Neodiprion lecontei: one gene and its partner. The protein of the gene in region 1 purifies or fractionates together with the protein of each later gene. This does not show direct contact. Links are inferred from orthologs where the notes say so. Each region holds a gene or a part of one and is shown on either strand. Other genes may lie near its edges.

The links. The genes of interacting proteins can lie anywhere in the genome.
Region 2: the proteins of zinc finger CCHC domain-containing protein 10 (region 1) and neuralized-like protein 4 purify together in Homo sapiens (co-immunoprecipitation; 3 studies listed by BioGRID and IntAct, with this or other methods). This does not show direct contact. The link is inferred for Neodiprion lecontei from reciprocal best matches to the Homo sapiens genes ZCCHC10 and NEURL4.

What each region holds. Positions count from the first base shown.
Region 1 is NC_060263.1:34,455,252-34,462,338, forward strand, and holds zinc finger CCHC domain-containing protein 10, read right to left. Parts: upstream 5,310-7,087; 5' UTR 5,214-5,309; coding exon 5,179-5,213; intron 4,916-5,178; coding exon 4,766-4,915; intron 4,563-4,765; coding exon 4,244-4,562; 3' UTR 4,158-4,243; coding exon of another isoform or gene 4,156-4,157; 3' UTR 2,309-4,155; coding exon of another isoform or gene 2,307-2,308; 3' UTR 1,127-2,306; downstream 1-1,126. Other genes in the region: aurora kinase C, read left to right, coding at 1-94, 358-444; E3 ubiquitin-protein ligase Arkadia, read left to right, coding at 5,310-5,398.
Region 2 is NC_060263.1:40,957,506-40,962,992, reverse strand, and holds the start of neuralized-like protein 4, read left to right. Parts: upstream 1-1,817; 5' UTR 1,818-1,904; coding exon 1,905-2,063; intron 2,064-2,167; exon of another isoform or gene 2,168-2,303; intron 2,304-2,397; coding exon 2,398-2,613; intron 2,614-3,445; coding exon 3,446-3,886; intron 3,887-4,071; coding exon 4,072-4,272; intron 4,273-4,354; coding exon 4,355-4,580; intron 4,581-4,708; coding exon 4,709-4,808; intron 4,809-4,942; coding exon 4,943-5,119; intron 5,120-5,257; coding exon 5,258-5,487. Other genes in the region: phosphatidylinositol N-acetylglucosaminyltransferase subunit A, read right to left, coding at 1-61, 210-389, 606-762, 1,068-1,093. UniProt on the Homo sapiens protein: Promotes CCP110 ubiquitination and proteasome-dependent degradation. By counteracting accumulation of CP110, maintains normal centriolar homeostasis and preventing formation of ectopic microtubular organizing centers.

The sequences.
Region 1 (7,087 bases):
TGACACGCATGAAGAAACATACAACAAAATTAAGGGCTGCATTATACACTGGCCAGCTCATGTTTCTTTAGGTGCACGAGATCTTATATCGAAGGTATGAACAAGAATGCTCAAATTTTGTAGCATTGATGACGAATGTACTTTAGCATAATTTTGCTTTCCACCTGTACTCTGGGATGTTAAAATTTGGGCCAGTGAATTGTCGCAAAGTATTTAGTCTACTTACTTGAGTATTCTACTACATTCACCCTGTACTTTAATATTGCAACAATTCCTTTTTTTTTTATAAGTATCTGCTTTCATATTCAAATTGTAGTACGGATATTTTTAACATGTTAACTTGTTGATATGTTATAGCTGATTAAAAGGAAGAGCTCTGACAGAATTCCACTACCTGCTGTGATGAAGCACCCTTGGATAGTTGAAAAAAAAAGCAGAAAATAGTCATTTCTATAGTATTAGCTGTCGTCCCTGAAGCGCAATGCCTATTCTGGAGTGTAAGTGCTTTGAATACTGTATATTTCACATGATCAAACATTATTAGGGTAATATTTTTTCAGAGTTTGAATAGAAAAAATATTCCAATTTGTTTTTTAGTAAATTTATAGCATACTAACATCACACCAGACTGTAATGATGATTCATGGCTATCCAAATTGAAATCCATATTTTTATATTCTTTATTATATTTAATGATGAAGCTGAAAGCATTTGGTTTGTTCCTGCCAATTACACTATCTACACTTTCACAATATATTATAGTGATGGTATCCTCACACAAAAGTGTAAAAAGTATAAAAAGTGTAGCTAGCACGAACAAACCAATTGACAATAGAATATAACTTTTAAGATATAAGTTGAAGAAAGTGGCCTTAGTTTGATATGTAATAGGCTTTAATTTTATAAATACACTTCATCTTATTATACCACAATGTCAAAATCAATCTTCAGAAAATATGTGAATTCATTTGAGCGGACATTTTATTATTGATATTGGTCACATTCAAGTTGATATATAGGTGCCTTCACAATAATATGAGCGAGGAATTTTGGGTCAAACTTTTTAATGTATAAATAAATCGGCATTGTGTTGAAAAGGGTAGGTTTGAGATCAATAGTATGTATGTATTGTAGCATTATGATGTTCAAGAATTGAATTTATTATCATCCCATCAACGCGTAGTAATTAATACAGAGTTATTTTTGCTATCTATAACACTGCTATAATTTTGATATAAAAGAAGTATTTTTACTGGAGACTGATGGAGATTATCAAGGGGTAATGTACCAGTAGACCGCAAGAGCAATTTCGGGAATGTTTATCTCATAAGCTAATAATTCCATTTGAATCAGATTTTTTCATTTGAAAGCCGTATACATGCAGGTGCATGTATAAATTTTTTTTTTTTTACAGGAACCCATTTTCTGGAATCACTGTTATCTTGTCCAGCGTAAAACGTATTCCTCATGGATCCAGGAATCCGTGCAGTCGGTTCATCTGAAACATAGAATTCAAAGGGAATCTTAAAATATAATATATAGAGTAGTCCGTGATGGTAGATTTCTATCCTGAAACTTATTTTTACAGAAATGCCGACAGTTCGAACATGATGTTCGTTCGTCGTCCATAATTTTCGACCCTCGGGGTTTTAAAAAAAATTCTCCCGTGTGAATAAGAAAAAATGTCACAAAACATTGTATAAAAATTGCAGCAAATCAGTCGAACCATTTTCGAAATATTTTGAGAATCGACTTCCAAATTGATGTTTTAAGATAACTGAGTTCAACGTTTGGCCAAGAAATTATGTGCAAGATATATTTTTTTTCTTCAATTTACCGTCAGTGATTCCAGGGTCATAATTTACTATTCCAGCATCAATTCTTACCTATTTACACTGAATTCCTCTTCACGGGTCGCCTGTTTAGTTTCAATTTGGTTGATATGAATGTGCTCCTCATCGTCTACTTCGCAGTACCAATCAGCTTTCCTTTTAATTTGGTTCCGGAGTTAAAAATTCATGTCGCTGTATTAGCGGCAATGTTTCCAATGTGTGAACTGCTATGGTTGATCTCGGGTGCTATTACCAAAGTACGTTGTTGAAGCTCCCGTTTGAATTTGGTGTGTATCTTCTGTCATAGCATTGTAACTGTCACAATTAGATCTCTAAATATCAACTCAATATATTTGTCTACATCTGGATGGAGAACAGGCTTATGGTGGTAGCTCTTCAATGTATTTGTAGCCTTTGCTCACTGCCAAGAGAACACCACTGTCAATCCCTGGTGGACACCCATCATGCTGTGACTTCTGGTCAGTTGATATCATATGGAAAAAGGTATACCGAAGATTGTTTGGTAATTTCTTTGCACAATATAACGGCATCAGCATGATCTTGCAATACTGATACTGAAATACCGAAACACCGAGATATCGAAGACATCAATATTCCTCATCATAAAATTAATGGAGCTTTGTTTACATGGACTTGTTTGAAACTACGATTTTTACCAAAACAACGGTACTTTGAAGTAATGCATGTACCGATTATCTGCAAGAATTTCTTAATCTGTTTGACACCTGCCAAACCATAAACGTTCGCCATTAACATAACAAGGATATTGGATGAGGCATTGTAGGAAACTTCTGGTATAGTCAGGTCATGTAAAGTCACTCGGAATATTACAACTTCCCAAGAGTTGTGATATATTTCTTTCACAAACCATTTTTTTGTCTTGAAAAATGCATGCGCAACTGAAACTGTTGAAATATTTGATTATCAAACTTTCAACGAAAATGCTGAACTCGTTACTGATTGATTTGATATGTGTAACAGATCAGTTTGAACAATGCTTAAGATCATGAAAAAATAATATACATTCTTTGCAACTCATTAGTGAGTTGTAATATTTTACAAACAGATGTATGGATTTGAATAGTATCTTGTCTGATGAGTCCCTGTAGCTCTCTGTATGCCATATATTTACATGATATTTTGGTATGGTTATTATATAGGATCCTACATGGCTGATTCTATGAAGTAGCTGCTGACCAATATACATAATAGCTTTTAGATTCGAAAATCGGAACCTAAGATAAGATTACGCTTGGCTAAGAGACTAACAATATTCTTTTGTATAGAATATATTTTAACGAAGAATTGGAGAAAAATTATCCCATTATATAATATGTATATAAAAGGAATTGTATTTTCATGCTGCATAAACGGGATCTCATAACATTTTCAAGAAATGAACAATGTTGTGCTAATATTAGTATGATAATGAGACAGCTGCATATGTGTGCAGTATAAATAAAAAACTGCTAGACTGATTTTTAATGGGTTACCAATATCATTCTTATGATTATCAAACTAACACAGGCTCTGTCTTATCACCCCATTGCTCCAGGGGACTGAGAAATAAACAAAATTGGTAATTTATTCATTCATCTCCATCCTCGTTTCAGCTGGGTTTTCCTTGGTAAATTCAGTAGAGTAATGGTGGGGATGGTAGGCTACAATTTTCATATTGCCAGACTGCTCACGATACAATTTGACGAGTACATTTACGAACTATCCATTTTCCACAACAGAACGATATGCGATGCAAGCAGGAGCAAAGCCCCTAGTTCATGACAAATATTATAGTTTGTATCACCAATTAGTATCTACAGCCTTGTACGTTTCGAGATTATTGAATGTCTGCGGGCACATACTAACAGGCATTTGACCAACTATAATGATGGCATAGTATGTAAATGTTCTGTTGACAGTCACGTTATTAACCAAACAAAGAAGCCTAATGGTCATATGGAAAATAAATAAATGTCTTTTAGAAATTTGGAATTTAAATAAATAATAATAGTGCAGATAGCAAATATTTCAAATTTACTCATTTAAATATACTTTTTTTCCTTATGATTAGTTGACATAGCATTATTATATTTAAGTCCTTAAGTAATACATTAATAGTAGTAAAATAACTATGAAGTTATTCAATGGTAAAAAAAGTGATAAAAAATAGATTGTCGATGATATGAGATTCCATACATTTAAAAATGTAAATGGAACCTTTTGACGCATTTCTACTTTGCTACTCGTCAATCCTTTTGCACAAGGCTTGATTTGTTTATCCAAAAACTTCATTTTTTTTTCATTCTACAACAAGAAAACATGTCCTCTTCATTGGAATGTTAGAATAATTTGCATGACTTCGCAATATAGAATGATGAATGAACTCATTCCTATGTTACAACAGGAGTAGGTACTAATTTGAACGTATGTACTAATTTAAACTTACATTTTTTCGTTTTTTTTGCTTTACTGGATTTGGTACCTTCGCTGGAACTAGAATCTCTGCTTGATGAACTGGATGAGGTGCTGCTACTACTACCACTGCTACTACTCGAGCTAGATGAGCTGTCACTGGAATCCGAATCATCGGAGGAAGAACTGTCTGAACTACTACTATCTGTGCTTGAGCTATCTGAATCACTTGTACTACTTGATTCCTTTCTAATTTTTTTTTTCTGTTTCACAGTTTCACTGGTCATCTCTGGCTCCCTATGAAAATTGTTAGACGAGTCACTTTATTGAAAAGTTATGAGGTCAAAAAATGCTAAAGATGGCGATTGAAAAAATGAAACGCAGATTCGAATACCATTTTTTTTGTAGAACAATCTTATATAGCGGATACTCAGAGGAAATGATAAAATTAAAACTATTGGAATTTAGGAAGACGTATCAGTAGACAAACATGAACTTACAATTTTTCCACCTCTTGCTGTTTTATTGCCTTTTTTAATTGCGTAGTTCGTGAAGATCTGTGAACGTATTTCCTCTTGCCTTTGCACTCATAACTCCAGTGACCCATTTCCAAACACTTTTGACAACGCACAGATGCTGGGTAAGGATATCTGAAAGATTGGATGTATTAATTAATTTTTAAATCATAATAAAAATTTGTATTCGAATTGATTATTTTTTCAGATAACGCCAAAGTTTGTAATTTATAGCGAAAAAATAAACATATTAAACTTTTATTTGTTTTTCCAATGTTTATAACCTATATGAAAGTATTGTTCAAAATTTTTAATGATAAGATATACACAGAAATTGAAAAGGCGTATAATAATAATAATTATTATTATCATTTGTACTAGGCAAAAATTTTACGTACGTTTTTTTCATTAGCTTCATACCGTACGCGCTCATTACGGTGCTTGATTATTTTTGTTTGAACAACAAACAACACGTTTCCAACCTACTACAGAATCGTCTTGGGTTGATTGGGTCAGGTTCTTCTTCCTAATGGCTATGCCCCCGAAAAAGAAGCGCCAACGTACTCTTAGCTTATTCCTGGGATATCCAGGAATTTCAAGAACTATGGTGATCCTTAGGTATTTAATTGAACTTATTCTTACTTTATTTAACTATTAGATTATATTTAACCCTATTTTATACTAATCATTTACTTATTTATTTATTTATTTTACTCCTCTATCCCCCTCTGGAATGTGCCCTGTTGCATATTCGTTTCCAAAGCTTTCGGCAGGAAGGATGTAACAGCACGACAGGAAAAAAAAACAACAAAAGAAAACATTGAACAGAGACACAGAGATGTATAAAGTAATAGGCAAATGCGCATAGTCATAAGTTGAGATTATTCCTAATTATAAATCTGCTAGGACCGTGATAACCTGAGTGGACCCTTTTAGAAATATTTCTTGCAGGTCAGTATCTCTAGTAACTTTATGTTTTTGAAGAAAGTTCTTAAGTTTGACACGGGGAGGCTAAAATATGGACACTCCCAAAACAAGTGATTACCCGACGGAACAGGGTGACCACACGTGCAAACCTGTGGAGCGACCGGGAATTCGGTCAGGTTAAGTAGGTTAGGTTCGTTTAACCTGAAACCATCCTGAAGCAGACAGTTGAAGATTGAAATAGAGCAGAGTGGAGCTGAGGTAAGGCTGCGTTCGCCCATGAGATTGCTTAGTACTGTGGGCGGTCGTCATGTCGTAGTTGGTGCACAAAAAGAAAAGTGAGCACGGTAGTTGCAAGCTTCACGGCACAGGCGTCGTTCGCGTTTGCTTGCCTGGCTGTAGTCGCTGTTTAGCCATTCTTGGATCTGTGTAAATTTTTTTTACTTCTAGTTTTATTGTTGTTACTGACATAAGAGTATTCACACTTCGTAGCTAAATTTTTATGCATGTACAGACAGCAAATTACATAAATTCCGAGTAATCAAGTGACACGTTCCACTTTATAATGCGCTGATAGTTCATACGCAAGTGACGAATAGTAGCTATAAATTATTTTGCTTATAATGACAAGGTGAAGAACGGGAATCTCGGTACATTATTCTATCCACCAGAGGAGGGACAAGTATGTCGTATACATCCTGAATAAAATCTATTGTTTCACCATTATTTGATTTTAATAGGGTAATCAAACCTGAGCTATACAGTTATAAGGTCGTATAATCATTTTCACGGACGGACGAATATATTACCCAGGCGTGGATCTTCCACTCAATGAATCATTCGCCTCCCTGATTAATTTTATCCTGTTATAGGTTCATCCGTTGTTCTAATTTATTTATTTTGTCTTTCACCTTGATACGTACTCGCCGGTTATTTAATCAGGGCCAAGAATTCAGACGTCTGGCAATTTTTTTTTCTCCTGGCAGTTTCCATCACTCAATTATGGCTTCTTTGGCTTCTGCAAAATCTGATTTTCTCATATCAGAATTCCGTATCATCTTGTATTTGAAAGTTCAAGCTTCAATAAAGAATTTGATCATTTCAATTGTTTTAAATTTGCATCTACCTCCTTATTCTTGTGGTATATTCATTTTTGTAACTAGGAATATAATTTTTTGTTGATACAATATCAAATTGATTACTTGTTCAATTTCTTTTTATGTAATACCAGCTTATATTGCACGATTTCAAAGTGATATAGAATTATGTGTATTCATTATTCATAATGTCTTGAACAAAAGTTATCCTCATTGCTACTTATGTCTAGGATTGACGCAAATCTGAAAAAACTAATTCCGATAACTTTGGCTTATACTACCTAAA
Region 2 (5,487 bases), about 6.5 Mb from region 1:
TGTTGGTCAGGATAGCAGATGCGTCAGCAAAACCAAATAATGAATGGTCTGTGAATACAGTCTAGAACAGAATTCGTACAAGAGATTTAACATAATTCAAACTGTTTTCATTGCTAATTTCATTTATTGCTTTTCCAGGCCTCTCAGTTACGTGACATAGTATGTCCCACGAATATCTCAAGACACCTGGAAATGCGACCGCAGTTTACCTTCAGTCCCATCAGCCTCCCTATCAACATCCCTTCATGGGCTAAGGCAGAGAATGCCGAATGCCCATGGATTATCTGGATCTGTTCCCGTATGAAGATGTATCTGATCAATGGGAGAGAACAGATCATGGTGGGCAGCACACATTGATTGTAAAATACTTTTATCGGCAAGTAGTAGACCTGAAATGTATAAAAAGTAATATATTCAATGGTAGTGGTGAGTGGGAACACAAAAAGTTGATTTAACACTACAATAAGAAGTTACTCGTAGATTTTGATGAGCTGAGTGACTTGAAACAGTGTTTTTTCTATATTTTTGCAGAGGAATTAGACCCTGAATGAGCATCCAGGATTAAAAACAAAAAATTTGATCACAGGGCAAAGAAGAGTATGTACTTTCAAGCCATTCGTCATGTACCGTATTCCTACTCTATCACCATAAGAGTGCGTCAGCACTACGACTTTGTGTCCTCGACCCAATAGGCACTGGGACAAATTGAATATGTGCTCTTCCACCCCACCCATGTTCGGATAAAAGAAGTCGGAGACCATACTGAAAGAAAATATCAAGTTATGGCATTGTAACTTGCTAAAATATGAATAGGTAAGTTCATTCCAAAAGTTATCTCAGTTTGCTGTAGTCAAGGTAGGGTATGTTGCAAAAACAAGATGGATAACGAGTTGAAATAAAGGAAACAGATGTCACTTCTTAATTACAAGTCATTTGCAAATAATTGATATAGTTCAGCTTGACGATAAACTTTGACTTTGCTTTGGTGTCAGAATTTATAGGTTAGAATAGTCGAAAGCAGTAGGCATTGATATAAGGATATTTTTACAAATAGAATTAATGCTCACCATATCTTATGCCGGGTTTGTCCCATCTTGACATCTGAAACCGAGTTGTTTTTTTTACACAATTACCTCGATTTGACCTGTTTCACCACCCCCGTGTTTATCAACGAGCGTCATTGTGGATTTTGACCAGATTATTGCAGACGATAACTGCCAAACTGAATTCCCTCAATTGGCTGATGATGTGATGACGTTGCGGTGGGATAGGTGAAATGAAGCCTTTTCATTGGCTTGAAATGATAAACCCCTCCTACAAGGTGGGACCTGGTACATCAGAACCAATCATTCGGGCGTATTTTTCTCGTCGCTAGCTGTCGCTAGCACCGAGTGTCATCCTATATGCTTCGATTAATCGAGTTCCAAAAAATAATCGAACATGACTCAATTGAATCGGTAAATATTAACCGATTAATCGATTATTCCGTATTTTTTTTTTTTTTGAAACGATGCATATGAAATCAAAATGTTGTAAGTGAAAATATTCATATACGCCTTTCACTTATTATATCAAATAGGTGCTTGGTAAGTAAGACAATGTCAATTGTTGATACTTTAATCATATAAATTGATATTGTATTGTAAGGTTTCTCTCTGTATTGTATCATTCATATGGGAGTAAAAATCAAAAACCGATTGTATATAAGAAAGAACAATCGAGTCGGTCGATTAATCGAGTTTAAGAAATAATCGATTATACTCGATTAATCGGGAAAAAATGATCGATTATTTTTATGATGGTTTGGTTGGATTTGGTACGCGAGACGACGTGATCGGATATCGGATACGGGGACCTCGGAGTACGAGGCCCTGCTGCTGCTGTTGTTGTGTATACATACACAAATGGCCGTTATGTTTCACCAAAGATGCGGGGAGCGTGTTAATTTAATAAATGACAACTGTACCGCCGTCCGAAATTTCTCTGTATATAATTACGGGCTCGTATTAAGCTCCGAACCGCTCAAGGATGATGAACTCTTCGAAGTTCGCATCGATAAAAAGGTAACGATGTGCACCACTCGACATGTTATGCTGCAGTTCTCCATACTCGTACCTGTCGCCCACTGCATCGACTCGCCGAACTGTCAAATCTCCGGGATTTACAGGTTTTCATCACGCTATCGTCGCCCACGACTTTTATGGACAAACCTCGGTTTTCCAATCCGTATCTTTCACGCAGTTTCTTAATTGTAACGCCGTTTCCTGCATGCCCCGTGCTTGCATAATGTCCTCCTCAACTAGGCAAGACAATATTCTTCGCTTCGTTACTTGTCTATCAACATATCGTTTCTGCTCTTTCTTTGCCTATTTGTTTCTTCACGGTAATTTCTTTCAGATGGTATCATGGAGCGGAAGCATTGAAATCGGAGTGACATCATGTGATCCGGAGAGTATGGAGTTACCGGCATGTGCCAATAAGCTTAGACTTGGATCATGGATAATGTCAGGTTCTGGGATTATTCGTGACGGACAACCAATTGTAGAACTGTACGGGACAGATCTTGAAACGTTAGAGGAAGGAGATTTTCTTGGTGTGATGAGGACCTCAAATGTTAGTCTTAACTGTGTATTTGGTTCATTTCTCTTTTTCTTGTCGATGACTTTTTTATGTGTAGCACCGAATCTTGAACCGAGCAGAATATGAAAAGGCCAAAATGTAGGATCATCTAACTGTTTGAACTTATTCTTTTTCTTCACCTACTTTATCATTGAAAATTGGTTAACTACAAACATTTTAAGAGGATATGTTAAGAGGATTTTGTTACCAAACAAGAATTTTAATAACAAAATTAGATACTAATTGACGATTCATCGTATTTTCATTATACTTATTTCAAAATTTGAGATCAAAAGAACAAAGTAGGACAGCATTTTCTTCAAATTTCATCACTGGCTTCGTCTTGTGCACCAATTCTCTACGAATAGATGCACAAAAAAAAAGATAACTTAAATTTTATTGGATAATACAACTAGCTTAATTATTTAACAAGGTATGCACCTTTCATGAATTGCTTTTCCACCTGGAAATTATATTTAGAATTGTCTGATTTCCATGCATCCGTCACTTGTATGTTACATGAATAAACTTTAACATCTCTTGGAATGGAAGAATTATATTCCAATTAGGATTTTATAAAGTGATAAAAATAATGCAATGTTTTTTCAATACTGTCTCTGTCATTTTTGAGAATCGTTGAATAATAAACTCCCAACCGTCAATGTTTGTCAAAAATTGACCAGAGAAGATTTAATGAACTCCATTATTTTTTGATATTTATAATCCAGTCATTGAAATTATGACGACACATTTTAAAATTGAACAGACTGAAATTCATGTATTTGAAACAATTATTAGTCAAATAAATATTTTGTTTCATTTTCAGAGTGAACTAGTGTTCTATGTAAATGGAATGTCTCAAGGTGTAGCAGCTACAAATATCCCTTCACGAGTATTTGCAGTAATTGATATGTATGGTAACTGCGTCCAAGTAAGCGTCTCTCAGCCGAGGCCAACACTTTCCATAACAGACGTAACAAATGAGACAGAAATCAACAATGATCACGCACTTGCACAGACGTCAAATTCTTCAACGACAAACTTAGTTACCAATCTGAACGTTAACGTTAATGTAAATATCAACCTACCTAAGAATCCAAGCGCAGCTGCTATACGGGAGGACAGATTAAGGTTCCATGAGCGAGTCGGAACCCTCATTAAATTGTCTAACAATGCTAGAACGGCAGAGAGACGAAGACCACTTGATGAATTTAATAACGGTGTTGTAATGACGCACAGAGCATTAAGAGATAACGAGCTTTTTGAGGTAAGACTTTTCACACCTTGGCTTACCGCGATCTAATATTTTAAGTTTTCAAGTTGAAAAAGTATTTGATGTGTCATACACTGTGTTGAGTTATACTTTGCCTGGGCGAATCGATTGATTCATTAGCTTGAAGTTTGTGGTAAGGAATGTTTGCAATCTAAACAAATTTTTTAAATGTGAACCAGATTCGAATAGACAGATTAGTGGACAAATGGTCAGGAAGTATCGAAGTAGGTGTTACTACTCACAGTCCGACAGCACTAGAATTTCCCGCAACGATGACCAACATGCGATCTGGAACAACCATGATGTCTGGCTGTGGAATTCTGACCAATGGCAAGGGTACTCAGCGTGAGTACGGAGAGTTCAATTTAGACGAGTTGAGAGTAAGTTTAAATCCATGGCATAAAATGAATTCAGTGAAGCAAGATATTGCTTGCAAAGTTTGATATGGATTCCATATTACAGGAGGGTGACAGGGTGGGAATGATTAGGCGAAGTAACGGAAACCTTCATTACCTTATAAATGGTTTGGATCAAGGTATCGCCGCCAAGGTTCCCTCGGGTATTTGGGGTGTTATAGATCTTTACGGGATGACTGTTAAAGTAACCATTGTCGACCGGGATGAGAGAGAAGAACAAAATTTAGTCACTAGACGAAACACTCTGCATCTACAGGGATTAAATGGCGAAGGTAAAGTTCTTCTATTTTTCGGCATACTTTTTCTATCGACTGCTTCATCATTGTGTACTTTAATGCTAATTAAACTATATCCAGTTTTCCTTATGACAAAGTAAACTTATCCTTTCATTTATCTGTAGAAATGATAGACGATGATGCGATAGATAGACTGATGTTTCACGTTTGTTGTGGGACACATGCGGATGTAATTAATAATGGAAGAACTGCTCATAGACCCAAGTAAGCGTATAAAATGAACAATAGTATGATTTCTCAGTGATCTTGCGAAACAAGAAAGGAAAAGAAAAATTTATTAATCCAGATCCATAATGGCATGAAAACAGACCATCATATTAATAAAAATACGTTTGCAGCGCTCTAGATGATTTCAACAATGGTGTTGTACTGACTTCTCGACCGTTGCGTCCAAATGAATTATTTGAAGTTAAGTTAGACAAGATAGTTACAAAGTGGGCTGGATCGATTGAAATTGGCGTCACTACTCATTCTCCGACTGAATTAGAATTTCCTTTCACAATGACTAATGTAAGGTATGTTGTCAGTAAAGAAGAATTAACTTCTACATACTTATTACTATATTCTATTCTTTCACTGCTGGGAGTGTAAAGTGCACCGTTTTAAATCAAATATACAAATTTCACTTGATGGTACACAATCGTTACTTTCAGGTCTGGTACATGGATGATGACGGGACAAGGCGTGATGCATAATGGCACAACGATCATAGATAAATATGGACAAAATCTGGATCAGTTACAAGTCGGCGATCGTGTCGGGGTAATGAGAAACGAGGATGGTTTGTTACACTTTTATATAAATGGAGCTGATCTTGGCACAGCTGCCACAGGAGTGCCAGAAAGAGTTTACGGGGTTATCGATTTATATGGGCAGGCAGCTC